Linked DNA regions of Schizosaccharomyces pombe. The gene in region 1 interacts genetically with each later gene. Each region holds a gene or a part of one and is shown on either strand. Other genes may lie near its edges.

Region 1 (7,913 bases):
GGATTTAGCCTTTATGCATGCTGAAAGAGCCTCTATGGCTGGTAATGCTAATGCTCAATTCCTGATGGGTTATTTATTCGATACAAGAGGTAATACAGAACAGGCAACATACTGGTATAATGAGGCTGCTAAAGCAGGACATAGTGAAGCAATTGAGCGGTTGGCACTTCTAGAGAATCAGATTCAGGAGCCCGAACCAGAAAACATAACTTCATCACAATACCCAAATCAAGACGTTATAAAAGAAATACCTGTTACAGCCTCTGAAACTTCTCCACCGCACGCACCAGCTGTCTCATCTACCCCTGTTACTTCTGCGCCCCCTGTTTCGCAAACAAAAGTTACAAAGGTTTCGGTTCCCAAAAAGACATCTAAAAAGTTTCTTATAAAACATAACAAGTGTATTATATCTTAAGTTGGCAATTTTTGCTCCCTTAGAACATCATTTTTATCATTGGAATCGATTTCTCCCCGAAATTTCGTTTTAGTGTTCAATTGCATTCACATAGCATAATCCGGTTTTTATTTCTCTCATTTGTCCTCGAATTGTCTAACGCTCATTTATAATTGTATAGTTAGCTGATATCCATTTAAGCAATTTCTTTTAAATACATGTTTTCATTCACTACTTTTTCGATAGTATAATACAAAATTGGATCACGAAGAAATACATACTGTGTAATTATTGTTTCATACAAATTAGTCGTCTCAATATTTGCTTTCTAATAGAATTAATAGTATTGAAATAAAAATTTATTAATTTAAATATACCTAGAACACAATCACCATTTTACCGTCCGTATATCACCATTGATGTTTACTTTGTAGCCTTCATGCGAATATACAAATTTTTGAGCTTAGATCCGTTAAATAATTTAGAATTTAATTTAACGTCTTTGGCCATACTTTCAAAATCTTCAGTTCCGTACTTATTTATAAGTCTTTGAATATATGCATGTTCAAATGCACTTAAAGGAAGCATTTTGTTAGACTGTCGAGCTGCTTTTTTTACAGCTTCTTCTTCTAGTTGACGAACAACCTCCGTTTTAGCCGGTGCAATGCTAATTTCTTTGTCTAAAACATCATCAAGTGTTTTTGCCTCTCCGTGAATAATCTCAATAATATTTCCGTCATCATCTCTTCTAACAATTGCTTGACCAGGTGGTAAAGATTTTTTCAATTCATCCAATTCCTCTGAGGTAAGCTCACGATCCTCATTTTCACGTTTAGGATCAGGATAAAGCTTCTCAACACCTCCCGTAACATAATTAGGAGTAGCTAAAAGACCCAACCTCGCATAACTATTTATTTGTTAATAGCAATTCTATAAGAAAGAAAAGAACATAAGACCAAGAAGGAGCGCAAAACTTTTTCCTCAATTTTCATTTGTATAAAACAAATAAAGCAATACTTATTAACTTACTTCTGCCTTAAGGTTGCATGTTTATCCCAATTTTGTTGAATCACAAAATTTCCGTAAATTTTGGCCTTCGCCTTTTTGTTAGCATTACGCCTGGTTAAACGAGGCTTTCCAGATCTTTGCTTATTCCTTTGTCTAGGGTTTGCCATCTTATCTATTTAGAGATAAATGGGGGGAAATGGAAATTGGTAAGCAATCAAAAAAATTTGGTTGTTCGTGAGTTTAAGTGGAGGTGAATGTAGACTACGTGCAGTATGTCTACATAATATTTCAACGAAACACAATAAGATAGTTCTGTGACCTAGTTTAACAATGACTGTTGTCCATTTAATTTATATTTCTCAAATTAATAGACGTTGACAGTTATCACATTTATCATCAATCCTTTTGGTATTGTATAAAATTTAAGTACCCTCATCTTTTTTTTGTCTACATTATAAAGCTGTATGAATTGTGAAACGATATAATATTCTCATAGAGATTTCAATAAAATCTTGAAACAAAATTTATAAATTGATCTTCCTCAACGAATACACTAATTTTAGTGGCATTCCAATATCTAGCACTAACTGTAAATTTCTAAAAATTCCCAAGAATTGTTGAAGTCGAGAAATCATGTATTTTACGTGTCGAATTACCAGAGTAAACAACAGCTATAGGATACTTTTAAAATCACTGTTTAGTCATTTGGTTTACAACTTTATTATATTAACAGTTTTAAATGAACCGACAATTGAAACACCAATTTTTTAATTATTTTTTTATGCCTAATTAAAGATTATTTTTATGATTTCGTTATTCCCTAACCCCAGTATAAAAAAAATTTCGTTTTCTCCTCGTCAAACTTCTTCTTTACCTGCTAATTCTAGTACAATAGTACAACGATTGTTATCGTTATTTGCTAACGTTCATTATGCGATGATTTCTTAGTTGCAATGTCTTAAAACCAAATATATTTTTCGTTGCAGTTCGCAAAATACATTAGCAAGAAACATCGCTTCTATACTATCTTTCCCGATCATTCAAAAGTCGAAATTGTCATTTGCCATCATCGGCTACTTTTTCATTCAGCATTTTTGGTTTTGAGTTTTTGGAAAATTAACGTTAGCACGTCTCAATTATAACAAGCTGAAAATGTCTGAAAAAGTTGACGTTGGTGAAAGCGTCAAAGGAGACGCCTCAGAAAATGCAGTTAAAGAAGTTGCTGAAAGACCAATTGTTATGATAGATAATTATGACAGTTTCACCTGGAACGTTGTTCAATATCTTTCTAATCTGGAAAAACGATATCCTATTATGGTTTTTCGCAATGATGAAATCACTGTCGATGAATTAGAAAAACTTAATCCTTTAAAACTAGTTCTCTCACCTGGGCCTGGACATCCTGCGCGTGATGGTGGTATTTGTAACGAGGCTATTTCGAGATTTGCTGGAAAGATTCCTATACTTGGTGTGTGTATGGGACTTCAGTGTATTTTTGAGACAATGGGTGGTAAAGTTGATTCCGCTGGTGAAATCATACATGGAAAAGTTTCTAAAATAAATCACGACGGTCTCGGATTTTACCAAGGAATACCTCAAAATATTTCTGTAACAAGATATCATTCTCTTGCTGGAAAAATTTCATCACTTCCTGATTGTTTGGACGTTACAAGCTGGACCGAGAATGGTGTAATAATGGGTGCACGCCATAAAAAGTATGCTATTGAGGGTGTTCAATACCATCCTGAAAGTATCCTTAGTGAGTATGGCAAAGAGTATATTCAGAATTTTTTGAATCTCACTGCTGGAACCTGGGAAGAAAATGGCATTGTTATGCCTACAAAAAATAACGCATTTAACGCGGCTATGCGTGAAAATTCGAATTCTGTTTCTTCAACTAAAATTCGCAAACAAGAATCTATCCTTGAGAAAATCCACGCGCAGAGACTTATTGACATTGCTGAAAGTAAAAGAAAGCCTGGTCTTTCTGTGGGTGATTTGCAAACATATTTGAACCTTAACATAGCACCTCCATGTATAAATTTTTATGAGAGATTAAAGCAATCTAAACCAGCTTTAATGGCTGAAGTCAAACGTGCTTCCCCTTCTAAAGGTGACATTAAGTTAGACGCAAATGCTGCTATCCAAGCTCTTACTTATGCTCAGGTTGGCGCCTCAGTCATATCTGTGTTAACAGAACCAAAATGGTTCAAAGGCTCATTGAATGATTTGTTTGTTGCGCGAAAAGCTGTTGAGCATGTAGCTAATCGGCCTGCAATTTTGAGAAAGGATTTCATTATTGACCCTTATCAAATTATGGAGGCTCGTTTGAATGGTGCTGATAGTGTATTGCTAATCGTTGCGATGTTAAGCCGTGAACAATTAGAGTCCCTCTATAAATTTTCTAAATCTTTGGGCATGGAACCGTTAGTAGAGGTTAACTGTGCTGAGGAAATGAAGACTGCTATAGAACTTGGTGCTAAAGTTATCGGCGTTAATAACAGGAATTTGCATAGTTTTGAAGTAGACCTTTCCACTACATCAAAATTAGCCGAAATGGTCCCAGATGATGTTATTCTTGCAGCTCTCAGTGGAATTAGTAGTCCTGCTGATGTTGCCCATTATAGTAGTCAAGGTGTATCAGCAGTTCTTGTTGGTGAATCTCTTATGAGAGCTTCGGATCCTGCCGCTTTTGCACGAGAGTTACTTAATCTTTCTTCTAGCGAGATATCTAATGGTAAAAAAACATCAACACCCCTAGTGAAGGTATGTGGTACTCGTTCATTGTTAGCTGCTAAAACCATTGTAGAATCAGGAGGCGATTTGATAGGGTTAATTTTTGTGGAAAAGAGCAAACGAAAAGTGGACTTGTCCGTGGCCAAGGAAATTTCACATTTTGTTCATACAACCAATAGAAAACACATTTCCCCAAAGAAAGCAGTGACTGGTCAAAGTTGGTTTGATCATCAGTATGAAAATCTTGCTTCCTCTCCGCACCCTTTGTTAGTCGGTGTGTTCCAAAATCAACCATTAGAATACATTCGTTCTATAATAGCAGAAGTGAACTTGGATATTGTCCAGCTTCATGGACAAGAACCTTTCGAATGGATACATATGCTCGATAGACCTGTTATTAAGGTGTTTCCGCTAAATTCTTCTGAAATTTCAAGGCCCAACTATCATATTGTACCTTTGATTGATGCATATGTCGGTGGAGAGTCAGGAGGTTTAGGCAAGAAAGTAGACTGGGAAGCTGCATCTTTCATTCCAGTATCTTATGTCTTAGCTGGTGGTCTAACACCTAAAAATGTACAAGATGCTATATCTGTTAGCCGCCCAGCTGTAGTCGATGTATCGAGTGGGGTGGAGACTGACGGGAAACAAGATCTTGAAAAGATCAAGGCATTTATAAACGCCGTAAAAGAACTTTAACTTGTCTACATTAAATCAAGTTTGTCTAGATGTTTTTGGATACATATCATGAGACTTCGCTTAAAATAACTGGTTTTAGATTTTGTTGGATAAGAAGTGTGCGATAATTATATTATCTGGTTATTGATCACTTTTCTGTATTAAATTAAGAAATATTTTATTGACAAAAATGGCTGTTATCCAAATGTATTTGGCCGAATGAAGCACATTATAAAGTGATAGTAGGAATAGGGAAACGATTGGCAATAGTAAAGTTATATGCTAAAGAAAGAAAATGAATAGTAAAGACTGTACAGATTTAATTAAGCAACGATAAAGGGATAGAACGGAAGCTGATCGATGTAATTATTTGCAATTCTTGGGATAACGAACGAAATAAACACCATGTATTAACAAATCAAAGAAGCAAATTATTTTAACTTTGCGTTTTGACTTAGCCAAGCCAGACCCTCCAACAGCCCGTCTCCTGTAAGAGCACATGTTGGCTGAACGTTCCATAAACGATCCTTCAATTTGTCTAGCTGCAAAACATCGGTAATTTGAGCAGGTGAAAGAGCTACCATAGTGTTAGCATAAGTTATTCGGATTCGCAACCTTACCTCCAGGCAAATCCTGTTTATTAGCCAACACCAAAAGAAGACAGTCCCGCATTTCACGATCTGAAATAATGCGATGCAATTCTTGACGAGCTTCTGATATACGATTGCTGTCGGCAGAGTCAACAACAAAAATTAATCCTTTGGTTCCAGTAAAATAATGCCGCCATAAAGGTCGTATTTTATCTTGACCTCCAACATCCTACAAACAAATCAACGTTAGAACATGCTCGACCCAAGATTGATTATAAATATACCCAAACGTTAAACTTGATGTTTTTGTAAGTGACTGTTTCGACGTTAAAACCCACAGTGGGAATGGTGACAACACTGGCTGTTAGTTAATGAACACAAGAAAAATCAATTTCATTTACGGAAGCATAATTGCAACTCAAGATAATGCGCGACAGTAGACTTCACTGATTAATTAACCAACAGTCTTCGTAATGAAATCTATATCTACTATGCTAATACAGAAGCAGCGCATACGATACCTTGACACAATCGAAGAATGCTGTTTAGTGCTCTTTACCTTTGATTGAGTTTTAATTTGTATAAGATAGCTAAAATGTTAATAAAAGAGTTACCATTATTAAAACACCAAGTTAAGCACGATTATACGGAATGAAGACTGTAAAAATCCATCCGAATAAAAAACATACTCGTTTTTCCAGCTGCATCCAGACCTAGCATTAAGATACGCATTTCCTTGTTAGAAAACAACCGACTAAATGGCTTTGAAAACCCCTTAAATAGTGAATTGCCCATGGTATCAAATAATCCCAGAAGAAGATAACCAAAAGAAAGAATAGACCAAAAAAACCAAAGAAGTAGAATTTATATTGAACCCAGATACAGGGCTTTCTTCGTACTTTAAAAGACGGCTAGCACTAAACGTAGGTGCAGCTGATATCAACTCTCTCTGTCTGAAATATTTAATTAAGCCGAGCTGATACATAATGTAAATTAACGAGCTGCGTAACTGAATTATATGGAAGCCCATGGTCTTGTACTATATCGTAAATCCCATGTACGAATAATAAATTAAATATTAAGAATATTATTTTTATCGATTAACTTTTGGAATTTCCATCAAGTTTATTGAATAGAAACATTCTCATTCCCTTGCCTAATAACGCAGATTTATATTACTCAACTTTAACAGTGTATGTTAATGATTTGAAGCCTCATTATTTAAAGTATTTTTCAAAAAAAAATAAAAATAAAAAACAATCATATAAAATAACATTTAGTAGAAGAAGGCTTCAAGTATTGAATTATAAACAAACTAATGTTTTCGTAACATATGTTTCTATGCTAGCACTGTATTTTAAATTGTACTTTTTAATATTGATTCTTTATTTTTGTATGTATATCTCTCTATCTAGCAAGTGACTATTGAGATACAAGATCGACGATGATCGACAATTTTCATCCGAGTCGCGACCTATCTAGTAGTAAGCATATGTAATAAGTAAGTAGACCTAAATGTTAAAACTGTAACAGTCTTTCTACCAAATACACATTCTGAGATAGTCTTTAATGAAACATGTCTTTCGAAGGTAAAACGATCACTTGCAAGGTATGAAAAAGAAAACGTAAATCATTGTCTAAAGTGTAAATGATATTGGTGCTGTAAGTCCACCAAAGGTTTACTTTTGATATTATTGTTCATCCATGAGTATATGGATAATTATCTTTTATTTTTTCTTTCTGTGTACTAATAACATTCGTTTTAGGCAGCCGTAGCTTGGGGTGCAAAGGAACCTTTATCTATAGAGGAGTAAGTATAATGATGACAAAAGGAAAAGAATTTATACTTGAATTTTATTACTAACTTTTGACTTCTCTTCTGCTCATCAACGGGCAGAATGGGAGGTGATACTACAGTATTCAGGTTGCCCCTCCAAAAGCTCATGAGGTTCGTGTGAAAGTCGATTGGAGTGCTGTTTGTCACACAGATGCTTACACGCTGTCTGGTGTAGATCCAGAAGGCGCATTCCCTATTGTTCTTGGTCATGAGGGTGCTGGTATTGTGGAAAGCATTGGCGAAGGGGTTATCAACGTGCGTCCTGGAGACCATGTTATTTTGCTATATACTCCGGAATGTAAAGAGTGTAAATTCTGTCGTAGTGGTAAAACTAATTTGTGCTCCAAAATTCGTGAAACACAAGGTCGAGGTTTAATGCCTGACGGTACTAGTCGCTTTTCCTGTCGCGATAAAACGTTGCTTCATTACATGGGATGTTCTAGCTTTAGTCAATACACAGTTGTAGCTGATATCTCGCTTGTGGCTATTTCACACTCCGCACCTCTTCGCAGTATTTGCTTGTTGGGCTGCGGTGTCACAACTGGATTTGGTGCTGTGACACACTCTGCTAAGGTTGAGTCTGGTTCAACGGTAGCTGTTGTTGGATGTGGATGCGTAGGTCTCGCTGCAATGCAGGGTGCGGTTGCAGCTGGTGCTTCGAGAATCATTGCTA
Region 2 (7,574 bases), on another chromosome or scaffold:
GTCGGAAATCCATTTAACGATTCCAATTAAAGGTCGAGGATAATCATAAGTCAAATCGTCAACTAATTGAGGATCCGCAACCAATGCAATCCTTACTGGATTCCCAGTACTCTCCCATTGCTCCCAAGACCGCCAATCGCACTTTTTATGTGGCCTTGTATGAATAATTTTCTCGAGATAAAGAACATAAAAACAAAAAGCAATTATGACTAAAAAACGACCTACTTTCATCTTCAGTTATTCTTTTCTTCTATTAAAAATGCACGCTCTAAGAAAGTAAGAATAGTAAATCGAGATAGTATGCCAAGTATATACACTACGTTCTAATTTATCGATGCAGAATAAAGGTCGAGTAATTTCAAAGCAATCTAATGAAACTCCACGTTTACAATAAAACCGAAATGTTGGAGAAATGACACTAGACCCTAATGATTAGTTAAATTTATTATTCCTGTTCTTAGTATGACTTTGAAACAGGTGTATTTTTCTTCTAGATAAACCTTGTTAGTAAAGACTTCAAAAATTGTGAAGTTTGGAAAACTGAAGGACCTTTGGCTCAAGAAGCGACTGGCCTCATGTAGAGAATCTTAATATGAAGCTTTGCGGTGCTCAATTTCTTGATTGAATACCCACTATTTTCACTCAACAAGTAATATTCACCTTCTAATTGATTTAATTTATAAACTGACTCATTAATTGCTTTGTATTTAGGTCGATATTGAACAATCTTCAGAAGCACGTAGCTAGAGAGGATAAGTTCTAAATGTCGCCTAATCAGAGAAAGGTACAATCTTATTTTAAATTACTCATATAGAAAACTATTAAGGTCCAGAATTCATATAGACGAATACATTCTATAGTTTAATTTTATCATAAAAGTGACTTTTCGTGATACTTCGGCCTTACTAATTACTAGTTTAAATATGTAACGTAATATCTATTTTGACAATGACTAGATATTTAATCAATATAAAAATTCCAAGAAACTGAAAAATTCCAGTATTTCTCTTATAGTAAAAAGCACCCAAAAACGAGAGAAACAGGTTAACTATAGTCAAAAGCCAATGAGTAAGATATTTCGTTAACATACTTCAAGAATCAAGACTTGAAAGCAATGCTCCGTGAAATTGAACATCTGAAAAATTCAAGAAAACTGTTAATATTAACACGAATCCTTATAACTCTTCAGACACTAAGAAATACTAAGGGGAGAGCAAAGTATGAGAAAAGACAAGCATTAAACGAGCAATTAATAATCAAGTAAATAAATATTAAAATTCTTCTTCGTGTTGAACAAAAGCTTGAGAATATAAAGTAATAACAAGAAATATAATAGATCCACCAACGCAACTCATTGTAGCAGCAGCAGTACCAATTAATCCGACATTAACAAATACTATGGGTAAAGCTATTATAAATTAGCATAAAGGTCTCATTCAGTTATAAATACATACCAAACCCGGTACAGATGGTTGCACCGAATGTAAATCGACCAAAGTCAAGAAGATTTCTTTAGTAAACGTTAGTAGAGCTCCTTACAAATAATAATGAAAAATAACAATTATGGTTGAAATAATTTCCCCAGAACAACCAACATTATTATATTTCCATACCTGTCTTCCTCTTGTAAAAAGTCATGGCTTGTCGAGTATTTTTTCGTAAGGAGATTAGGAAGAGGAGCTAAAATGAATGGAATGACTATTCATTAGTAATTCGTAAGCAATGTAAATGAAATAGTTCTCAACGGTTGACAAAATCATACCAATTAGCAGTGGATACCAATTCTTGAATAAAGCACAAGACAGGATCACCAGCATAAATCCTACTGCCAGGACCTTAATAATATAAGTTAGACTCGTTTAAAATGGAATTGATGTCTAGCTCGAGTAGGAGTCATTGAGCGATGCATACCGAAGAAAGACCGATAATTCTAATTGGTGACAAACGTTAACCTTTGCTTTTTCATATTAACAAAAATTACTTACTTCCTGAGGTCGGACATATTTAATTACTATCGTTCACGAATATATACTGCAAGCTAAAGTTTACTGCTTTTGAGAAGAGAGACTTCGATGATTACCAGCTACTTCACCTAAAAAGGGTACGCTCCATTACGTTATACAGATGTGTTCTGTATGCATAGAACACAGAGCGGTGCACAAGATTTGTAAACTTGGCAAATAAGTTTAAAAAGACATATAACGAAAATGACTTGTTACTATTTTTTACACCAATGATCGAGCTTTCGGCTCATTAGTAAAGTATCGCATACGAACAAACTCTGAAAAACGTACTTTGTAGCTACGTAAGTAAAGGCTAGTAATTGACATTAACAATACAATTAAAAAAAAGCAAGAGGATAACCGACAAAAAGCATTCATTTCATTAATTTAACTTTGAGATACTAGTAAAATAAATTTTGTATTGACAAATATCTTAATTAGAGTATACAGGGAATGAAGAAATTATTCCTAGTTGCCCCATCATTAACGATCTTCTTTTTCCAGTCTATTTCTTTCATAGGAAAACACTCGTAAGAATATAAATAGTAGGCTATTTTTTTCGATATAGACTTTTGACGACAGATAAATCCAAACTGTATCATAATTGAGTGTAATGTTTTTTCATCCATGTACCGAGAATTTGTTATGCAAGGCGAAGGCAAAACCAAAAATAACCAAGGAGGCTGTTCTTTATTAGGAGGCATTAACAATCCTGTACAATGTAATAACATTTTAGCTCGGAGTTCTGGAGGTGCAAAATTCAGCACAAGTGAACAACTTATCCCAGTAAAAAGTCCTTCTTCAGGAGTTCTTTCAAGAAAGTCCTGTTGTTTAATCAAGGGATGAACAGAATGCAAATCAATCCTTGAAACTCGGAAAAGTCCACAAGTTGAACATTTGTTGTCAACAGAAACACTGCCAATTTCCAACAAATCTTTCGGCTCCTTAAGACGTGCGCAATACGAAAAACAGGGAGTTGTCCGAATCCATTTTATCAATATTTTACTTGAATCCCCTCCTTTTCCTTCCGCTTGACCGGATCGACTAGCTCGTTGGTAAGCATCAATACCTATATTTTCGAGTTCACTTTCCACATTTTTTATTTTTTCAATCGGAGCACTTGACGCAATAAGTCGAGATTTCTCTTTTAACAGGTTATGATAATGACGAATAAGCTTATTCCCCTTCAGTCCCTTTGCATTATCAATGTTGTTTTTTCCAATGCGATTCTTCACTGGAATGGGACGCATTCAAATAGTGATAAAATATTTGTTAATCTCCCAGATGAAAATATAATTGTATTTACAGTAAATGGTTCATAAATGTAGTTTCCTAATTACTTGAAAAGTTTTTACGATGAAAGAAGTAGTGTCGCGTTACTTATAAAAATTCAGCACAAGAAGAGCTTGGACAATGTATGATAAATTCTTAATATGTAATTAAAGAGCGGTAATTTATGCAACCCTTTAACCATTACACAGAATATTAAACGGGTTTCCTTTTTTTATACGGTTTGTACTTTACAAGCACAAATCAACTTTTTTTATATTTGAAACAAAAATTTAAAGGCTTTGGGCTTCGAGGGGGATCGAACCCCTGACCACTTCGACCCAAACGAAGTATGCTACCACTACACCACGAAGCCTCAGTTGATATTGTGCTTTGAAAACTGTATATATAGTTATTAGATTTACTTGATTATTAACTAAACTTTTTCAATTGTTTTTAAAAAATAATCAAAATAAAGAAAACAACCGCCAAATATGGTAGAACTATAACATAAAAAAATTCGGATAAATAAACAGCCAATATCAACTTCTCTCTTAAATTGTTTTAAATGATTCCACTCATCAGTTACGTTACGATATAATTGATATAAGTTATTTTTAAAAGAAAGTAATAAATGTGTATAAATATGTATATACGACAGCTATTGAAAAGTATTTTGGTAAATTCTAAACTAACGATTTATATCTAGTGGAATTGGATAAGGGACTTTATTTATTATTTCTTAAATAAAATACATTTTAAAAAATAAAAAAAAATAAAAAAAGAAAAGAAAAGAATTTGGTGTACTACGGATTACCTTAAGTTTTTAAGTTAAACGGGTGAAGTGTAAGTATTTATGATATGAAAACCATAGAAACATTTTTGTATTTTTACTACTTACAGACGAATTCTAATTGTTTCACCAGACTATATACTATTAAAACAAATAAGTGCTTCAAAAATAATTATTGTAGATTAAATTTTCTTGATAACTCAAACTTGAGTAAATTAATTTTTTAGAGTATATGTTAAAAAAATAAATACTTTTAGTTTAATTAAACGTACAAAAAGTGTTAACAAACATTATGTACCTGTAAACAAAATGTAATAATTAAATATAAATAATATTTGTAACTGCGGCTGCTATCGCATTGGATGGGGGACTGATTGTTGTACATTTCAGCTAAACTTATTTTTACAAGTTACTTTATTTACTGACACAATAAATTGCGTGTTTTTTTTGGATTACTATAGAAAAAACACATACGTTAGCACTGGAATATTATTATTTAGCTATAAAAGTCGCAAGAGACAAGTATGACAATTTAAAGACAAAGTATAAAATGCATATTACCTAAATTCTTCAGCATTTGAGCTATACTGCATGGCATCAAGATTAAACAATTTAAAAGTTAGCCGTCATTGTAGAAAATATAACTACAGAAATTCTATTATCCCTGAAAATCCAGAGCATCACCAAATTTTATTATGTATCTTCTATTTACTTATAGGTAAAAACAAAACATTTACAGCGTTACAACTTTCCAAATAGTGAGGCGCAGTGAAGCCGTTTCCAAGTATTACAGAGTTTACGCAAGCATTCAGTATATTGGCACAAATGAGACGTAACGGAATGTTAGTGATACAACATCCCGTAACAAAACTTTGTTGGTAAAATCCAACCATTGCATAACGACTTTAGCCTTTTAAAAAGCTTTTTGTGTTTGTAGTCCTTTACTGGTAGTCGTTACGAAAGTATCTAGTCACTGTGGTACTTAACATTGAATTTTCATATAGCTACAGCACCTCGCTTTCTTTCACATTTCGAGTATTAGTCCTACGTCTTTCCTATACTTATGTTATTAAGTCGTTTTTAAGGGGAAGCTAGGTTTTGTATTTAATTTAAAAATTTTATATAGAAGTGGAATATGAGTTCGTTGGAAATCATTGTCGACAAAATTTTAAAATTCCTGGAAAAGCAGCCAAAACCTGAAGGTCGTCCTTTTATTCTTGGAATTTCCGGCCCTCAAGGATCTGGTAAAAGCACACTGGCAAGTGCTTTAGATACCGAATTAACAAGGAAGAACGAATCAGTTGTGAAGTTCTCACTTGACGACTTTTACCTCACGCACGCAGAACAAGTTGAATTGGCCAAAAATAATCCCAATAATCCTCTTGTTCAACATCGTGGTTTAGCTGGAACCCATGATGTCACATTTTTAAATAATGTTTTAAATGCATTTGTTAAGGGAAGCGATGAGGAGGTATCTATCCCTTTTTACGATAAATCCAAGTTTGGTGGCTACGGAGATAGGGGAGATGAATCCCAATGGAAAAAGGCAAATCCTAAAACAACTACCTATGTAATTTTTGAAGGATGGATGGTTGGGTTTGAGCCGCTCGATTCTTGCATGCTGTCTGTCCGAGCACGATCAACACGTTGGCAAAATATTGAAGGAAGTTTACTGTGGGTAAACAGAAAGCTTGCAGATTATCAGCCTATCTTTCAAAAAATTGACTCTTTGGTGGAACTAGAGGCACAAGAGATAAACTATGTTTACAGATGGAGACTGCAGCAAGAGCATGCTTTGAAAGCTCGGATCCACAAGGGTATGAGTGATGAAGAAGTCATTGAATTTGTTAATCATTATATGCCCCAATATGTCTTTTATCTTGGTACCTTATCTAATAAAGTACATCTGAATCCACACTGTTTGGAAATCATACTTGATGAGAACCGATATCCTGTTGTTATGCATTGATGTATTTGTCTAAGATTTAAATCCCATGATTGTATAGCGTTCCTGTACTTTGGAATACTTTTTACGCTCCCCCCTTTCCTTGAACAAAGTTTTTACCTCTACTTTTTCTTTAATTCCAACTTTCTTTTGAAGTAACCCATCAAGGTTTGACCGACAAAAGCTTTTTATGATATTGTTGTATGCTTTTTCTAGCAAGCTGCTTTTAGACGATGTAAACCATCTTTGTAAAACTTAACAATGCGCTGCTATCACGTTCGACAATTCACCGTTTCTAATAAATGCTCCCATGGCGAATAGCCTTTTTCGCTATTTATTGGTTTGCTTCGGTTGTGACGCTTTAAGTACAAGTTTGTTAACTAGAAATATCAAGCATTTTTAATAATGTGATATTCGGTGGGCGGTTGTTGATATGCTTATTGCCAGTAGTCATGAAATAATGATACCAGCGAGTAATAAAATAGCAGTAGGTAAAAGGAAATGAATAAAAACAAAACAATGGTGAAAGCCTGTTGGTCGCATGTAGTCGAAAGCCGTTTTAATGATTGTATGTGAGGTCATAAAAACCAGTAATTTAAACGAATGCAATATTGATATCCGCTTTCACATTGTTTCCAATACCACATGCCATTCATATGCTGTTACATACAGAAACTCAACGAAACATTGAATTTAGCTTAATTTGAAAAGTGGAAAAAGAAGAAAAAACTCGATACTCTTATTTAATGTCACTACGCTCATTGGCCGTATGTCAAGTTGAAACGATTAAGGTCATGGGTTCACTGCAAAGGGTTTGTTCATCACGAAAACAAGCGTTTATTAAGCGCACCGAGATAGACGAAGTTCCCTTTGAGCGGACCATTCAGGATGACTCAATATGAAGGATAAAAGATGCAATCACAGATGGGAATCAACCGTCGGAGTAAATAGACAAACTTGGTCGGCTTGTTTAAGGCACAGTAAACCGATCCCGTTAGTAACGCTTTCTACGCAAGAGAGTTGCCGATCATTCAGCCTCATCCGTCTGAAAGATACTCGATACAGAGAAAATACAAGCTTATACTTGCAATTATTCCCTTCATTTTGCCGATTTAGGAGAATTCGGAGCGAAAAATAAACATTCGTTACATTTCGATAACAAATTAACACATTGCGTTCTGATTCCCTATTTTTAGTTATCACTATCATGCACCTCGCCACTATCTTTGGGTACATTTCCAAGCCTTGCCTCTATGGACAAACGAAAATAGGTATATGTGAAAAGAAGTCCAAATATCTAAAGAGTTTTGAGAGCCATTTAAAATATATAAATCGTAATCTTTGAACTGTAAATGGCTAATCCGCTGATAAAATTTGTATGCCAAAAAATGGCGTGAGTTTACCTCAGATGATTTTTTCGCTGTTTGGTAAATCACCAGCGATATATAAGCCAAGATATCGTTTCCTTTACAACTATCACATAAAGTAACCCTTTAGGTGAACGATCGTACTAGTACCTTGCATTCTTTAATTGCAAGCTAAGAATAGTAACTGCACAGTATAC
Region 3 (8,485 bases), on another chromosome or scaffold:
TATTACTTAAGTTTTGACTTCTTTTCTTTGTATTGGCTCTAATAGTTGCTAAAAGTTGTATTATATTAATGTAGTAAACCTCGATATAACAAAGAATTCAAATACTCTGTCATTAATCAATTTGCAAGTTATGAATTATTAAAAAAGAACTCTTTCTCAGTTTTGTCTAAACATATCCGATTACAAACTGATATCAACTTGTTTTGCAAATAATGAGCCAAATACTGATGTCTAACTCACAAAGGAGAAGTCCCGGTGTATGAGTTGAACAGATAACTTCATATTATTCAAAAATTCAAAGAATAAATGCATATACTAGTTCTCTAAATTGCTAAAGAATTTGTTCCTAAATTCGTCAAATTTACAACAATCCAAAATTCTGTATTCATGAATCCAATACTTATCTATGTGACTTTGGTATTAATAATCAGTTTAAGGCAACTCGCGAACAGCATGGTTAAATGCCTGTGCAACATGCTCTACATTAGAATTGTTCAAACCAGCCATAGAAATACGACCATTTGCACTGAAATAAAGATGGTACCGCTCCTGGCAAAATTGGACTTGTGCAGGCGTTAAACCGGTAAAAGAAAACATTCCAATTTGTTGTGTAATATGATCCCAAGAACCGGGGGTTTTGAGTGCAACAAGAGAATCGCGAAGACGTTTCCTCATCTCAATGATTCTAGAAGACATAGTCTTTAAATCTTGTTCCCATTCAGCAAACAATTGAGGACTGTTAAGAATTTCGGCAGCAATACGTGCACCGTAAGCGGGAGGGTTAGAAATGGTGTTACGTTGAACAATACACAATTGAGATAAGACCTTGTTTTTAGTGGAAGCGTCCTTTGCAACGTAATGCATGCAACCAGTACGTTCACCATAAAGACCCATATTTTTAGCAAATGACTGACAAACGAAAAAGTCCTTGTTATATTTGACAAACTCGTTTAGAGCCCAAGAGTCACGATTCAGATCACCACTGGCAAAACCTTGATAAGCAATGTCAAAAACTACCAGATGCTTGCGAGAAAGCAGACTCTCGAATATAGAAAGCCATTGTTCCCTAGTGGGGTCAATACCAGTAGGATTGTGAGCACAAGCATGAAGTAAAAATATACTTCCTTCGGGAGCAGATTTAATGGTACTTAGCATGCCTTCGTAATCAAAAGATCTATTCTTGGCATCCCAATAAGGATATGTATCTACAGTGACTCCCAATTTTTCCCACAAAGTGCGATGGACAGGCCAAGTAGGGTTGGAGATGTATACATGGGCTCCAGTGTGCTTTACATAGAAAGTCTCAATGAAACTAGCAGCAAGAAAATTGGCACCAGTACCAGAGACTGACTGCATAGATGCAACACGGTCCTCGGACAATAAATGAGGATTGGGTCTGAAAAGAACTTCAGCCGCAGCCTTAGTGAAACGAGGCAATCCAGCAATTGGTAAATATTCATGGTTGAAGCTTGCCTGTTCTTCCACTATTTTAGATGCTTTTTTAACTGCAGGCAAAATCCAAGGCTTACCAGTATCGTCACGATAGGCGCCAACACTCATGTTAACCTTCTTGGGATCTTCATCCTGATGGTATTGAGCATTTAATTTAAAAATTGCATCTGCCTTAGCTTCCTCAATATTTGCAAACCCGTAGTCTGACATTGTGGTTAAATATGCGGTAGGTAGATTTCAACCTTACTGATCTACTATATATATATATTTATCACTCGGTTTAGTATCACTATATTATCAGTATACTTCATTGACATATAAGATACCGAGCTTGATGTACTGTAATAGTGAATAACGATACAAAGTTTGACTCGTATAGGGAGGAGCTTAACTTTTACAAGGAGGAGCTCTGAAGTGTCTTATCGAGAAAAGTAGGCAATATGTGAAGTTATATTATTATGGTCAAAGATTGGCTTTCCATAAAGAAAAGTAATCTTTACTATAAATATCATTTTTTATCATTAGTAAGTTCAGGCAACCGAAAATTTCCAGGGTAAAATAAATGTTGAAAGACCCAAAAAATAGGCGACAACAGCCGTTGATACCAAGTTGGACTAGGTTTGTCGGTAGTGTATTTATCAGCAACCTTGGCCATAACAGCTATACTATTCACTGGATACCCAAAATTTTGGTTATTTTTTTGAATAAGCATTAAGCAGCGACCTAGCATTAACAGCTCTTTCGGTAAACGAGTGCAGTCCTGTAAGAAGCCAATGAACTTTTTGCGTTCAGCAAGCTGCTGTTGGAAGGCCTCTTTCTTTGAAATAATTTTTTCACCAGTGTGAGGTTGCTCTTCATCCATTGGAATATTTAACATGCGGTTAGCAAAAAGCTCAGGTTGTCCAATCCCCCAAGCATCCATTACCTGAAGAATAGATTTTTTGTCTAATGAATAGGCTGCAGTGAAAAGCAAGGCAAATTCTTTTCTAAACTTTTCTGATTCAAATACATATAACCCATGATCCAAAATTACCGTTTGACACAAGCCTGCTTGATTTTTTCGAACAAGGATATTTCCAGGATGTGGATCACAATGAACTTGTTTCGAATGAAACATTTGGAAGGCAAGGAATCTGAAAAGGTTCGTTAAAATTTCCTTTTTGCTCATCCCAGCTTCAGAAAGAGCAGTTTGATCATAGAGGGGAATGCCATCAGCCCATTCAGTAACCATTACTCGCTTTCCAGAAATCTCTTTATAAACCTTTGGTATATATATCTTATCTCTTAAATAATCAGTTTCTTCTACCCCTTCACGAGCATGTTCCGAATTGTTAGCTTCAGTTGTAAAATCAACCTCAGAACGTAATCTTTCCGAGACATAATCAACCGTAAAGTAGAGAGGGATATGAAATATCCATTTATCATAAACATACATCATGTATTTGTACACGAGAAGATCCCACGACATTTGCTTAGCAACATCTGGTTTTTGAATTTTTACCGCGACCTTTTCACCGCTAGGTAAAACAGCACGATGTACCTGCGCAATACTGGCACTTGCAGCAGCACGTTTCTCAATGCTGGCAAATACTTCCTCTACTGGTCTTCCATATTGCTCTTTGAATATGTCTTGAAGTTCTTCCCATTCAACTTGAGGTGCATTGTCAAACATTCCCTGAAAGGCTTTCCCATACGCTTCAGGCAAATTATTTGATTGCATAGCAATGATTTGACCCATCTTGATGTATAAACCGCCATTTTTGTAAATCGTTTTAAACAGTCTCTGTGCTACTCTTTGGTGCAAAGCATCAATTTTGTCTGCCTTTTTTTCGCTGAAATTCAACTTATAGTCAGCCGCAATTATAGAAGCGGTGTATACTGTTCTAATACTACGGGTAAGTGCATGGGCATTATACACTCGATCCCAAGCGTAGACACCTATTCCAGCAGCACCAACAAATACGAACCTCTTCATCCATTTACGTTTGTTACCAGGAACTCCATGATTTTGCAATGCTTGACTGTTATAACGTACATCAGCATATGTCTTTGATCGCTTAATGAAGCGACTGGTAGTTTTCTGCAGTAGAGAAATTGTTCTCCACGAAGTCAACATCTCTACGGGATGAAGGCTTTGAAGAAGACGAATTTGAGCAGAAGTAAACTAAGTTCAACACTTTGGATTCAAGGAAGGTAGTAAAGGGACTATCATAAATAGATCAAGTTGGCGCTGTGTCCTTTCAACATTCTCAACTTTCTGACCTAAGGCAGCCATTGAAATGCATTCTCCCATTTAGCGTATCATACTTTTGATAAATTAACTGAAGATAACGTCGCCAGTATACTATTATTTTAGACATTATATTACACAATTCATAAATAATGATATTCAGTGTAGTCGTTATGAATGAGGGATTCTGTCAATAACTTTTTTATTACAAGGTGATATGCTACTACAGCTCCGATAACACTTAAGAACATTGCTCATTGATATACTGAAAGTATTAAATGCTATGTCGGTCAATTGCTCGTCGAAGAATCGCAGAGCAACAGATCTATTCAATCCAAAAACAGGTTAGGGTTATAAACAGTCACGTAAATAGTCAGTAATATATATACCACTGTTTCCACTTTAATTTTTCCAAATGATACCTTTGAGCTCGAACGATCGTGGTTGAAGCAGTCATACAGGAATTTTTATTCCTCTAAACAGCTTTAGGGAAAGTCCCCGGACTCTTGCGTCTTGATCTCCATGGAGATTGGGACAGGCGGTAACGTGCTGACTTGAAGAATCAGCGGTTTCATTAATGGCGCTAGTTTTTCCTTTAGCCTTTGTACTTTAAACCTCAAGAGATATAACTCCTTGTCCAGAATGGAGTAGATAAGGAATACAGTCTATGAGTTGTGTTTCTTGAGCGTCTAGTGTACGAACGGTATGGTTGATTACGCCATTTCTGAATTGTGGTTTTTCGTCGTAGTTGATAGTTATACGGTCGCATCCATTTGTTGATGTATCACAATGGGGCTTAGTCTCGTGCTCAAAGGTTTTTTTCCTTAAAGAAAAAGGTTTGAAAATTTGGTTTACTCTGTCGGAGTGCTTGTTCGAATCAAGCCAGACCTACTTTTAGTTAGCATATTATTAAATGTAGCTTTTCCCAAAATATGATGATCGACAAATACAAAGAGTCAAGCACTGAAACGCGATAGCGTCTTGTTGAGTTATTTGGTCTGATTTTGGTATTCATATAAGTTTTTTGTTTCTAGAGCTGTTTTACGTTATTTAATGAATTATGTTTTCTTGTAATGAATTATAGGTGCTATGTAGCGTGATATCAAGTTTTGCTTTTTCTTATTGAAAGTGTTAAGGTACGTTGGCATAGGCTCGTTAAAAACGAATGTTTGGGGTTCAGATATGTTATCCATGCATTAAATTTTCAGAGATAAGTCAAGCAAAAGAACTGCAAATTTAGCCGCCATCAATGTTTTACTAATTGCGGTAGTAACAGTTTGGTTTAGTGATGGAAATAGCATAGGTAGCATAATAACATAAGTCGCAGTAGCTCAGCTGTGTTATTGTTTACATTACTTGGTTGCGAATTTTTGGCATCATTTATTGTTTGCGGGCTTTTTTCCTTCAAAATTAGATTGCTCGTAATCTCTTGACGATGGGATTTTATGATTTACCTCTCTCATTACTAATTTGATTTAATCCTACAACGCAGCATTTTTACTTTTTTTGCCAGCTGGTTCAAGCTGGATCTTTTGGCATATTGTAAAGTGCTTAATTTCTGTTGAGGTTTCCCTATAACTATAATTTCTGATACTTGTTAGTGTTATGCAAACATAGTTATTATTTTCCATGAACTATAATGCAAATGTTGTCAAGTTTCATTCAACAATACTTCACAAATTCGCTCTGAAAATATCGAAATTTCTAATTTTATGCATGCGTCGAAATAAGCGCCAATTGGCTTGTATGAAATGCCAATGTGAAAATCCAATGGCTGCGATTACATATGCAGATATTGAATATCCTCACAATACGCATTTTCTACTTTTAGACTCAATTTCGTGGATACCGTGTACATGTAAAATTCTCAAGTTAAAAGAATTCGAGCTGCCAGATCGCTTTGACATTCCAAATTTGTTTTATGATGGTTGGTTATCTTATGTTTTCCATACGTTTAGTGGTGTCTATTTGAAAATTGGTTATGAAATGGATGAGAGCGGGTTTTGCCTTCCTGATCAGGTTTATCACTTGATCGATAATCATTCTTGTATACAGACAGCAGTTTCGCATCTACTTCGAAATCATCAAGCTCTATTTAAATATTTGTGCGACTATCTACGTTCGGGCGAATTTCCATTAACTGTTTTGATTCATCATGTCATGCTCTATCAATATTACCCGAAAAGTCTTCAGGAAGCCTTGTGGGCAGCAGTTGAGCATTATGTAAACAATTCAGGAGAAGCATACAGTACTGTCCAAAAGTTAGCTGTACAGAAGAAAATTGGAAATATTCGCATGTATTTGGTAAATCCGAGGGATATCTTTGCTCTTGGCTCGACATGTAACTGCATTGTAGTAAGTTCGTCGAATTTTCAGTCATACGTACAGCTTCGTAAGCCGCTATTGGAAAATAATCTACCTTATGAAATTGATGGATTTGACAAAATTCTTCAGTGTGCTAATTCTGAAGCAGACATCGGTTGGATTGCAATGATTCACTGTATTGGCTCAAACGGTTATGCCTTCCCAATCCATCTCTATTTGAATATGAAAAAAAATATATTTCTCGGTAAACTACCAGAGTCGACGTTGCTTTTGTACAATAGTGATGGTGCAATCTTTAAGAATCCGCCTTCATCCAAAAAGGAATGTGACTTTTATAACCAATTGTTGCTAGATCTCTGCAAATGTCGCCAATTCAACGCCGAGATGGAGTGTAACATGAAAAAATTGTTCAATAATCCAACGGGTCTTCATTCATTGCCAAATTTACCAAATTTTTCTGAAGCAGGTTCAGCAAAATCAAGCAATTTTTGCTCGTCAAAAGATAACTGCTTAACCAATAGACTAACATTGAATTGTCTGGATACACCTTCAGATGAAAATGGAGAAGATATAGCGATTCAACTGATTATACCTGCTGAATGAGATGAGGATTGATAGAATTCCGAAGAAAATCTCGAGTTGGCTGAATTCGCCAATCCGAAAACATCTTTCACAAAAAAGAACCCAACATCAAGCTTGATGGGTGAGCCTAAAGTTATATGCGAAAGGAATTGAGTTTGCTTTTACTAAAAAATCTAACGAAGCAGATGATTTATGTTGACCAGCTATGGTGAATCGGTGGACCGAATTATCGTTTTGTGACAACGGGAACGAAACGATTTTTTACCCACATTATTACCGAACTACACTCACATCCTGACCTTATGTATTTGGTTGGGGAATGACATGACTGAATTATAAATGATATACAAAAGTTTAAATTAAAATCACGTAAAAGCGAAGAAAACAAAAACAGAAACCAAAAAATTCTTGACCTTACTCGGTATTCTTTACAGTTTCCGTTCCTTTTGTAAGTATAAGAATAAAAACAATGCCTATTTTCGCTTTGCGGTTGCCTGCTGAGCAGAAAACTAAGCGAACCTTAATATTCTTTAAACTTTCCACCATATTTACTTTTATACATTAGAACTGTGTTGTTCAATTTCCTTAATTTTTTCGACTGCAAATTACAGTAAAGTAACAATACGTACTAGAGGATATACAAAATATCTGTTTTAAATGACAGATATTTACTATGTCTTTAATGAAAGATATAATACCTACTTGTAGGTAGTATTCTCTATCAGTAAGCCCATGCGCAAATATCGTACACTCAAAGGACTGATGATGAATGCTGGACAGGTCGGTACAATAACTTTTTGTAGCCAAGTCCATCGCCAAACGTTTCTCCTTCAACTAACTAACTAACTATAAGAACAATCATGCACGTATAACCAAATTATTGTTCCCGTATGCACATACGTTATTGTACATTTGAGTATGCAAACATGAAGGCGACACATCCGCTAACATGCCAAATGTATATCATTCATTGACTGCCACTCGCTTAGCTAAAAGTGCGAACGCATATGTAATTCTATGAGAAATTTAGTCATTTCCACATGTAACAGTAATTTTGCGAATACTAAGGCTAACATGACAATCGTAAGCCAAGAAGACTTCCTAATTTCACTTCAGACGGATGAGCAATTCACAACTAAAAGTTGCCTCAAATCACTACTACCTGTATCACGATTAGAATGAAAATGTCGGATTTTTGAGATGTTATCGCCATGATGCAATCTTTTCGCAACTAAGTACTTTTTCTATTAGCAAGATAAACCGACTCCTTGAAGCAACTTCATTCTCTAGTCCTTATTCTGATCTCCAAGTTAGGTAAATGGAAATTCAACTATTTGTGCAGAAACCCCATCTCCCATTATTACCCTTGCTGCTCTTCTTTCTATCTGTACACTTTGGGAAGGGACTGTTGAGTCGGACATTCAACACTTTTTACAGCCACCAAAAATAGGTTGCCTAGACTAACAATAGGAAGGAACTTGTCGTCATGTTAAAAATCGGCCTTGCTCATAATAATTATTTTATTATTTTATTTTTTTTTTATTAGTTTTGGACGCAGCGATAAAATGCCCGATAAGGTTAGAAAGAATAGGTTATTGGCAAGAAAGTAGGGTTAACAAGTGAGTCGGTAGAAAGCATGTTAATCAAGCGAGTATGCAAAGTCTTCGTCAAGGATTCCACTCACAATAGCAAAGGCAGCAAGTTGTTTGTAAATAGTAAACAAATGACATTTGGCATAAAACCGACCTTATCCACTTTACTTTTTCATCATTCATGAGAAATGCCACTTAATCAATGAATGATCATTTAGTGTAGATTAGCTCATTCAGCCGCTATTTCGTTGGAATCCAGTAATTTTAGAGTGTTTACGTATCGACAAAATTACGTATGATACCT
Region 4 (7,637 bases), on another chromosome or scaffold:
GTAAACACTTGCCAATTGAAACTTATGTGATATACTTTACTAGCTCCTGTACTTGAAACAAAATATTAGACTTAGATTTAAAAAAAGAAAAAAAGTATGTTCTATATGAATTATCGACTGCTATAGGCAAAGTAAATGAGATTTACACTAGAGATGTCAATGCTGCGATTTTGAAATTAAAGAAATATCGGATATCAAACGAATACCATAAATTCATTTAGGGCGATATAATTCTTCTTTGTTATTCGTTTTTATATGTAAGCTACGCAGTTTGGTATCTGATTTAAGGATACGTAGAACTGCGGTGAGTTTTCCTTGTGATCTATTATATTACAATACACAGGTTGTATAAGTAGCAACTGAGTATAGGTATTGTATTAACTGGGTTATAATGTTACCTATCACTAATATAGCTCATAACTGAACTGAGGAACGAGGTTCAGCAGTAGCTCTATTTATAGTATTCAGATAATATTGATCTTAATAGATTATCATTAAGATCAATCTCCATATCGTATCATACATGGTACGATATATAATTAGAACATGTGACATATAGTGATACTCAACGTAGTGTATTATAGCGTAGTGTAGTATTGCTGACATTATACTGCAGGAACTATATATCACTGTGTTGTGCTGTATCTAATAAGGTTAGCCGCTAATCCTCTGTAAGTTGCAAATTCTCAGTTTTTGGCAAAAATTATTACAAAACGACACTGCCGCATGGACTGGGAGGAAGTGACCAAATTGGAAGAAAATGAGTACAAACGTGGTTATGATGAAGGAATTTTAAAGGGAATTGAGCAAGGGTATGAGGAAGCATTTTTGTTTGGACTCGAGCATGCTTATAACAAATATTTACTGGCGGGTGAAATTTATGGACGCGTGTGTTTTTGGTTGAAAGAAGAAAATTCACAACATCCTAAAATTAAAAAGGCACATAGGCATTTAGAACAGTTGAAATCGTTATTAGAGTCGTTGCCCACCAACAATGAACTGGAGGAGACCGATGCTGGGTTTGACTCTTACTGGAACAAAATTACAGCCAAAGCCAAAGTGGTATCGAGTCTTTTAGGAACTAAGATTCTTCCCGCTGAAAAAATTGATGCTAATGATGGCTTTGAGTAATGTCTTCAGAGCAAATATACTATGGAAGGTATTTAATATTCCTGAAAACATTCACTTTACATGATTGATTATGTTATATTTTAGCAGATTATATCTGATATCCTGGCATTTGTTCTTTTTCTTGACAATATCTCCCTTCGAAAGAAAGCTGCATGTAGTGAGTGAATAGTCGTTTTTTTTTTTGGCTAATTCATTCTGAATGGAATCAATTTCTTCATCCGTTATGGTTAGAAACGTTTTGGAAGCTAAATAAAACATTTTGTACATTAAGATGGAAATTAAAACCGCAAGATCTTTTTTCTTGTCAGCCAAGTTTTTCCAGTTAATGAGTACTAGCATCTGTCTCTTTTAACTCTAGTAGGTGTGTTTGACTGGATGGCATCCCCATAATATTGCTTTGTTCTTATGGCAATTTGATGATTTCATTAATGTTCGTAGAAAATAAAAGAAAAGGATCAAATATTAAACATCCGCTTTATGATTGCCATATGCGTTCATGAATTAGCACATTAGCTGCTGCTGTGTATATGATAATCCTATGTATAGACATTTCCCCGGCATAATTACTTGCTTGTCCAGTTTAATAAGTTTGTTGTACATTAGAACAAAAGTTTATAGACACAAAATAAAGACATCGTAACAAGTTAAACATCATTACAATTCCCCAGTTTACCATACAATTAATGATTTAAAAAATAAAAATAATAAATATTCATCGACTATATAGATACCAGGATAGCAATAAATAAAAAATTTTGTATGTGAAATGTGCAACTTTCTAAAAATGTATTATAAGCCTTGATTTTCGTTCACTAAAGATTTCGCGAAACAAAGCAAAAATAATCGTTACCGGCATTTGCCAATTTTGTAGGCCTATTTTTGACTTTTCTAACTGGTAAATTGCAGCTAGATAAGCTTCGATAAGGCCAAGGACAATGGCTATCAAATGTTGTTTCATCGTTTTATTCATTTCAGTTAACAGCAACCGTTACTACAATTCAAGTTTAAGAGATATCCATACTAAGAAGTTGTTTTTTTTAAGGTAGTTTTAATTAAAGGAAGTCCTAACAAAAAACGAAATAAAAAACAACGTTTATTTACGATTTAATAAAAACTGGTTGTTAAATAGTTTGCGACACCAAAATGGAAAGCAGTATTGTTATGTGACTGTGTTTTTTAGGCATTGTAACTCGCTAATTTGTTTAGTGCAATACGTTCATGTTCATTATACGCTATTGTTTTCATAAATAGGTATCATCTGTTTTTTAATAGTTTTTTTTTTTTGCTTGTTTCCTTGTTTAATATTTTGCTCTAATACTTTAAAATTGAAACTATCATGTACAAAATACAGGCGGCCTAGTTTGCTTTGTTACTAATTATCATATTCTTGAGCTTTATAAGAACACTCTTGAATTAAGCAAATTGGATAATTTAATATACAGCGACTGCTTATATTGATTTTCTCTTTGTTTTTTATATTAGGACCTTTCTAAATTCGATAATGAATCACTTCTTCATACCCTACATTATATTTGTGTTCATGAGTATTTGAATTCATCTTATTTACAATATTCAGAATAATTAAAATAAAAAATATAAGACAAGCCTGCCCAACATATAAAGAAAACAATATTTGATTATTATTTATTCGAGCTTTTGTTTTAGACATAATATTTATAATTTACTTAAAAATTTAATAAAATCATTGAACTTTTCTCAATAAATTGACGACATTATTTAAAAAAAAAAAATAAAAAAGGTCTTGTAGTATAAGAAAAATAAAAAGATAGTAACAATAAAAAAATAAAATAAAATTAGCGCCTCAAGTCATTTCGACATGATTACAGCTATCCCTTCTTTCATTTTATATTTTTTACTTTTGATGATTGGCTTTTCCAAACAATAAATACCAATTTTAGCAAGAGCAATACGATGGATGTTACATGGTCTGCTTTGTATATATTTTCGGAATGTATAGTAGAAAATCATAGTTTAAAGATGATATTATTGAAAGAGCACTTGAACAATTGATGTATGAAACGAAAAAGTTGAGTCTATATCTATATGCATAAAGGAAAGTAAACAATGCATGAATTTTGAAATATAAAGAATCAATCAATCAATTGAAATATTGGAACGTTATTATCAAGATAGACGCCACAAATTCACTTAATTATCCAAAGCCTTTGATCTTTCTTCGAAGGTAGCCTTGCTAGCAGGTCTGGCAAGAAGTCTTTGATGCCAGGAATAAGTTCTAGGAAACTCTTTTTCAAAGTCGAGCTGAGGCACTTCTTCCTCGATTGAAAACTTTCCTTCTGCAAAAATAATTTCAAGGAAGTTATTCCATGAAATGAATGATAAGTCAGCAATTGTGAACCGGTTGGCCACGAGATAATCACGGTCTTTAAGGATATCTTCGAGGACTCCTAGAACACGTTTGATTTCATTCCTATAACGGGTAATGGCAGATATGACTAGCTCCTGATGATAGACGCTAAACCATCCAGCCTGTCCCCAAATGATGCCTTGGCCAGAAGCTTGAAAAAATAAATATTGTATAACTTTGTAGTATTCAGGATGGTCACGAGGCAAAGATATCTTCCTTTCCGTATCATATTTGTCAGCTAAATAGATTAAAATGGCATCAGATTCCCAAATGGTATAATCGTTATTGTGGTGATCAATCAAGGTAGGTACTCTACCGTTAGGGTTTAAGGCTAAGTGTTCGGGGGATTTCTGCTCATTTTTTGAAAAATTCACATATCTGGTTTCATAGGTAAGGTCCAACTCCTTCAGCGCTTGAACCACCTTCCATGGATTAGGACCATGAGCATGCGACCATAAAGTGAATTGAGCCATGATACTTTATTTTGAGTGTGTTCTATTGTTAAATGAAAGGAGTTTGGCAATGGATTAAAATATAAAGAGCATCTTTACCATTTTATATACAATTCTTACTTCCATTGCGTATGCAATATTTATGAAAAATTTTGGAAAACACCCGAAATCGAGTTGATCAATTTCATCCAACTTACTAATCGATCATACATTAGACTCATACGTGGATTCAACTAAATTTTACTCGATTAGCTGACGACAAGCCGGAAGTTATGATTTATGTCAAAACGTGATCAAAGAAAGATAAATCTACTACCGATTCCATTTACTAATACATTTGAATCCTGTTAGCCGGTTACACGCTACATTTAATCAATCTTGTAATGCATCAAAATTTCATGTAAAATTTCTACCAACATATAGTGCGTGGGGACTGACTTCTCGTTTTGTTTAACTATGTATAATCCTTGTGGGAAATAAACGTATGCTTAGTGTTATATTTAATTTCTTAAAGGGTCGGCTTAATGCAATTCCAAATTCAAATGCAATTAAAACTGTTTCAGGTTCTTAAGACATGTAGTTTTCAGAATTTACGAGTCAGTTGAATAGACATCTTATGATAAAGTTAATATAAAAATAATAAAATAGTCTCAACCATACGCTCGAGATTTATTTTGTTCACCACCTGTTCAAAAACCAACGTGTCAAACTTGCTTTTAGACTACTGCACATATTAATTCAAACATGCTAGGGATTCACAATTGGATTTTCAACTGTAAAGATTAGTTATGACGGAGTTTTGTTTCTCACATATCAATTTAAAATTCTCTTCACTCTAATAATCTTATTTCGAAATCTACTTTATTTTTCATCATACAGTGAGTGTAATATGTTTAATTTCTGTAAGCGAATTGGTAATGATTCCCTATGAAAATTTTTTGTTTACATTTACTACCTTGACAATACGATACGTAAATTTTAAAGCTATTCAACATAACTGCAAACACGATGAGTAATTTTGCATTATAATCAGAAAAAGAGCAATGGAAACCAAAAAGCATACACCAACTTGATCAGAGTAAAGCAAGTACATGAACCAATACATGTTTATATCCGTTAAATACTATTTTTTTTCTTTTTAAAAGTATATAAAAATAACCTTTTTTGGATTATTCAATAAACGTCCAGCTTTTACGTCTTTCATTAATTGATTGAACTTTTAAAGTCGAAACCCGATAAATACAATCATGTCTAATAACGTTTATTCATCAAAAACTTTTATTCATTCAACAAGCTCAAAGCTCCATGTCCTTCAATTGACTATTCAATGTGATACATTGCAGCTTTTCCCATATTCTTACAACCCATCGGCTTAGTTTCAACGCATTTATCCAGGATCCTAGTCCGCGAAATCGAGATGCTTTGAAGATTAAAATTAAATTTAATTTTATGCGAGACTGGTTTCCTTATTTTTTGTATAGTCGCATGCAAGCGAGGTTCGCATAATTTGGAAAATAAAGGTAGTCAAGAAGACGTTGAATTAAGGCTGCAGTTTCAAAGTACTCTACAAACGATTCCTTTTAAAAAAAAAGATTCAAAAAAAAAGGCAAAGGGTTTAAGTAATGCTTGTTATTTCAATTTACCTCCAAACAGTTACTAATGCAATTGCAAAAAAAAAAACCTACCTATTGAATCAAAATTTCTAGCCCATCCATCGCTCCTCAAGATAAAGGAATCGATATTTTGAGTTTAAGGGAGTTGCTGATAGATTTCAGAATTAAAAATTTTTGGAAAAGGATGTCGAGAACAAGAAGATACGTCTAGATTGCTGATGATGCATTCTAGCAGACGGAAATACAACGATATGTGGACAGCACGACTTTTGATCCGTTCGGATCAAAAGGAAGAGAAATATCCATCTTTCAAGAAGAATGCAGGAAAAGCAATAAATGCCCATTTGATTCCTAAATTATCCCCAAAAATGAACATTATGAGATCTTCTTGTGGGAGACAGGAAATTTCGCAATTCCAAACGAAAATTCGGCTCTTTTTTTTACCCCACAGTTGCGGGGTAAATGATGTAACGGACCTTGGGGGAAAGGATGATGAGTTAGTTGGGAAGCGGAAAAAATGGAAAACGGAAGTAAGAATAGAAACCAGTATGGCTGAGTGCAATGGCGGAAAAGATTTTACAGAGATGACAAGAATCTATTTATCTATAAGGAAAAACTTTTTCCAAATTTGTCTAAAAACGCATTCTCCTCAATTGCCTCTAGGTAGATGATATAACGAATTGGAACGAGACATCGCTAACCGGTTTTCTTTGTAAATGACATTTTGTAGTGGGAGTAAGTTTGAATGGAGGGATAGACAGATGAATAGTATGAGATAGAAGAATAGTATATATAATGATTAAGATGAACAAATAAAAATTGAAAGAAAAAAGAAATTGTTGGCTCATTTGGTTCATACACATGTTGGTTCATACAACTTTTACCCATCGTAAGTATTATAAGTAAAAAATAGAGTACGAAAAGCTATAAGTAGTGAAGCAAAAAAATAGAAAAATAGAAAAAAAAATATATATAAAAAAATATAATAAAAATAAAACTCATAAGAGACGTAAAACACAAGAATTGTCTATCATTTGTTCTTTAAGAAGCACCACCATTCTGTAAAACTCTTCATTTCTCATTAGCAAGGACCCTTTTCATTCCTTCCTCTTTAGAATCCTTTTCATTATAACGAATTGGATAATACGCAAATAAGAACACATCCCCTAAATACGATATATCGATCCATTTTTTACTTTGCCTAGCTTATTGCTGTACAATTCCATTTAAATAGTTTCTCCTGTTAAACAGATTGAGTTTCATTGTTCTACTTTTACTTTCTCTTTTATTGGTTTTGACTGACGTCCCAAAACCTCGATTACTTTCATATCTGTCGGCATCATTCTCCTCAAGAAAGATCGTCAATGGAGGCGACAATATACCGGAATTTAAGTTGCGGACACAGAGCTTGAAAAGACTGCATTTTGTATTGTTTTCAAGTAAATGAAACTGAGTTTTGAAGTCTCAAAATACATCTTATGTATTGAACATTAGAAGAACATATAAGATAGATCTTGAGAGCTCAATTCATCGACATTCTAGCCATCATACTGCGATCTTAGACATTGTCAGCACAACCTTAGATCGAAAATGAACACGTTACCAAACGTTGTCTAAAACTTGCCGAATCTTATCTCCGCATTACTTCCGTAATCCTTAGTACATACGCTGCAATTTCGGAAGGTCATGATCGACTTTTTGTGTAGCTATAAGTGACGCAAATGAGAAACATGACAAGGTGCGATATTTAGCAAGATATTATGCATTTGATGGAGAAAGGAAATTTCGGATGTATATATAGTACCGTTAGCTGCGCTTTTTTTGGTCATCCATAATTTTCAAACTCACTGCTTTCGATCAGATTTACCGTTTTTAAGGTCTTTATTGCTTTGTGATCTGTAGGTTGGAACATCTATAGTTCATTTTCTAAAAGATCCTTTCATCGTTTCATCGGATAGTAATCGTTCAAGAAAAAAAAAGAAAAAAAGAAAAAGAAAAAGAAAAGAAAAATAAACCGCTATAATTCATTACCTATTTGACTGAAGGTTCTTCATC

Evidence for each region.
Region 2: mutations in arf6 (region 1) and bmt2 together harm fitness less than expected from each alone (positive genetic interaction), as found in Schizosaccharomyces pombe (one large-scale study listed by BioGRID).
Region 3: mutations in arf6 (region 1) and SPOM_SPAC10F6.14C together harm fitness more than expected from each alone (negative genetic interaction), as found in Schizosaccharomyces pombe (one large-scale study listed by BioGRID).
Region 4: mutations in arf6 (region 1) and gst1 together harm fitness more than expected from each alone (negative genetic interaction), as found in Schizosaccharomyces pombe (one large-scale study listed by BioGRID).

Annotation. Positions count from the first base shown.
Region 1 is NC_003423.3:4,374,142-4,382,054, reverse strand, and holds arf6 (ADP-ribosylation factor-like protein Arf6), read right to left. Parts: upstream 6,327-7,913; 5' UTR 6,199-6,326; coding exon 6,093-6,198; exon of another isoform or gene 5,994-6,092; coding exon 5,963-5,993; exon of another isoform or gene 5,761-5,962; coding exon 5,688-5,760; exon of another isoform or gene 5,633-5,687; coding exon 5,434-5,632; exon of another isoform or gene 5,391-5,433; coding exon 5,245-5,390; 3' UTR 4,878-5,244; downstream 1-4,877. Other genes in the region: chr4 (SEL1/TPR repeat protein1, 3-beta-glucan synthase regulatory factor Chf3/Chr4), read left to right, coding at 1-415; ribosome biogenesis protein Nop16, read right to left, coding at 818-1,301, 1,424-1,569; trp1 (anthranilate synthase component II), read left to right, coding at 2,555-4,834; fmd1 (glutathione-dependent formaldehyde dehydrogenase), read left to right, coding at 6,980-7,012, 7,170-7,213, 7,321-7,913. UniProt on the Schizosaccharomyces pombe protein: GTP-binding protein that functions as a molecular switch for the activation of 'new end take off' (NETO), a process in which the directions of cell growth change from a monopolar manner to a bipolar manner in fission yeast.
Region 2 is NC_003424.3:361,229-368,802, reverse strand, and holds bmt2 (rRNA (adenine) methyltransferase Bmt2), read right to left. Parts: upstream 3,359-7,574; 5' UTR 3,254-3,358; coding exon 2,441-3,253; 3' UTR 2,361-2,440; downstream 1-2,360. Other genes in the region: SPOM_SPAC630.12 (lipid phosphatase), read right to left, coding at 1-231; protein Vps55, read right to left, coding at 1,272-1,408, 1,455-1,510, 1,614-1,698, 1,763-1,835, 1,912-1,930, 1,986-2,002; mug58 (glycerate kinase), read left to right, coding at 5,201-6,034; protein mug177, read right to left, coding at 6,929-7,246.
Region 3 is NC_003424.3:1,230,356-1,238,840, forward strand, and holds SPOM_SPAC10F6.14C (ABC1 kinase family protein), read right to left. Parts: upstream 3,687-8,485; 5' UTR 3,569-3,686; coding exon 1,961-3,568; 3' UTR 1,907-1,960; downstream 1-1,906. Other genes in the region: caa1 (aspartate aminotransferase), read right to left, coding at 433-1,662; SPOM_SPAC10F6.15 (uncharacterized protein), read left to right, coding at 5,312-6,610.
Region 4 is NC_003421.2:1,716,025-1,723,661, forward strand, and holds gst1 (glutathione S-transferase Gst1), read right to left. Parts: upstream 4,047-7,637; 5' UTR 3,991-4,046; coding exon 3,301-3,990; 3' UTR 3,119-3,300; downstream 1-3,118. Other genes in the region: ribosome biogenesis protein Lto1, read left to right, coding at 727-1,131; SPOM_SPCC191.10 (uncharacterized protein), read left to right, coding at 5,804-6,253. UniProt on the Schizosaccharomyces pombe protein: Involved in the oxidative stress response and detoxification.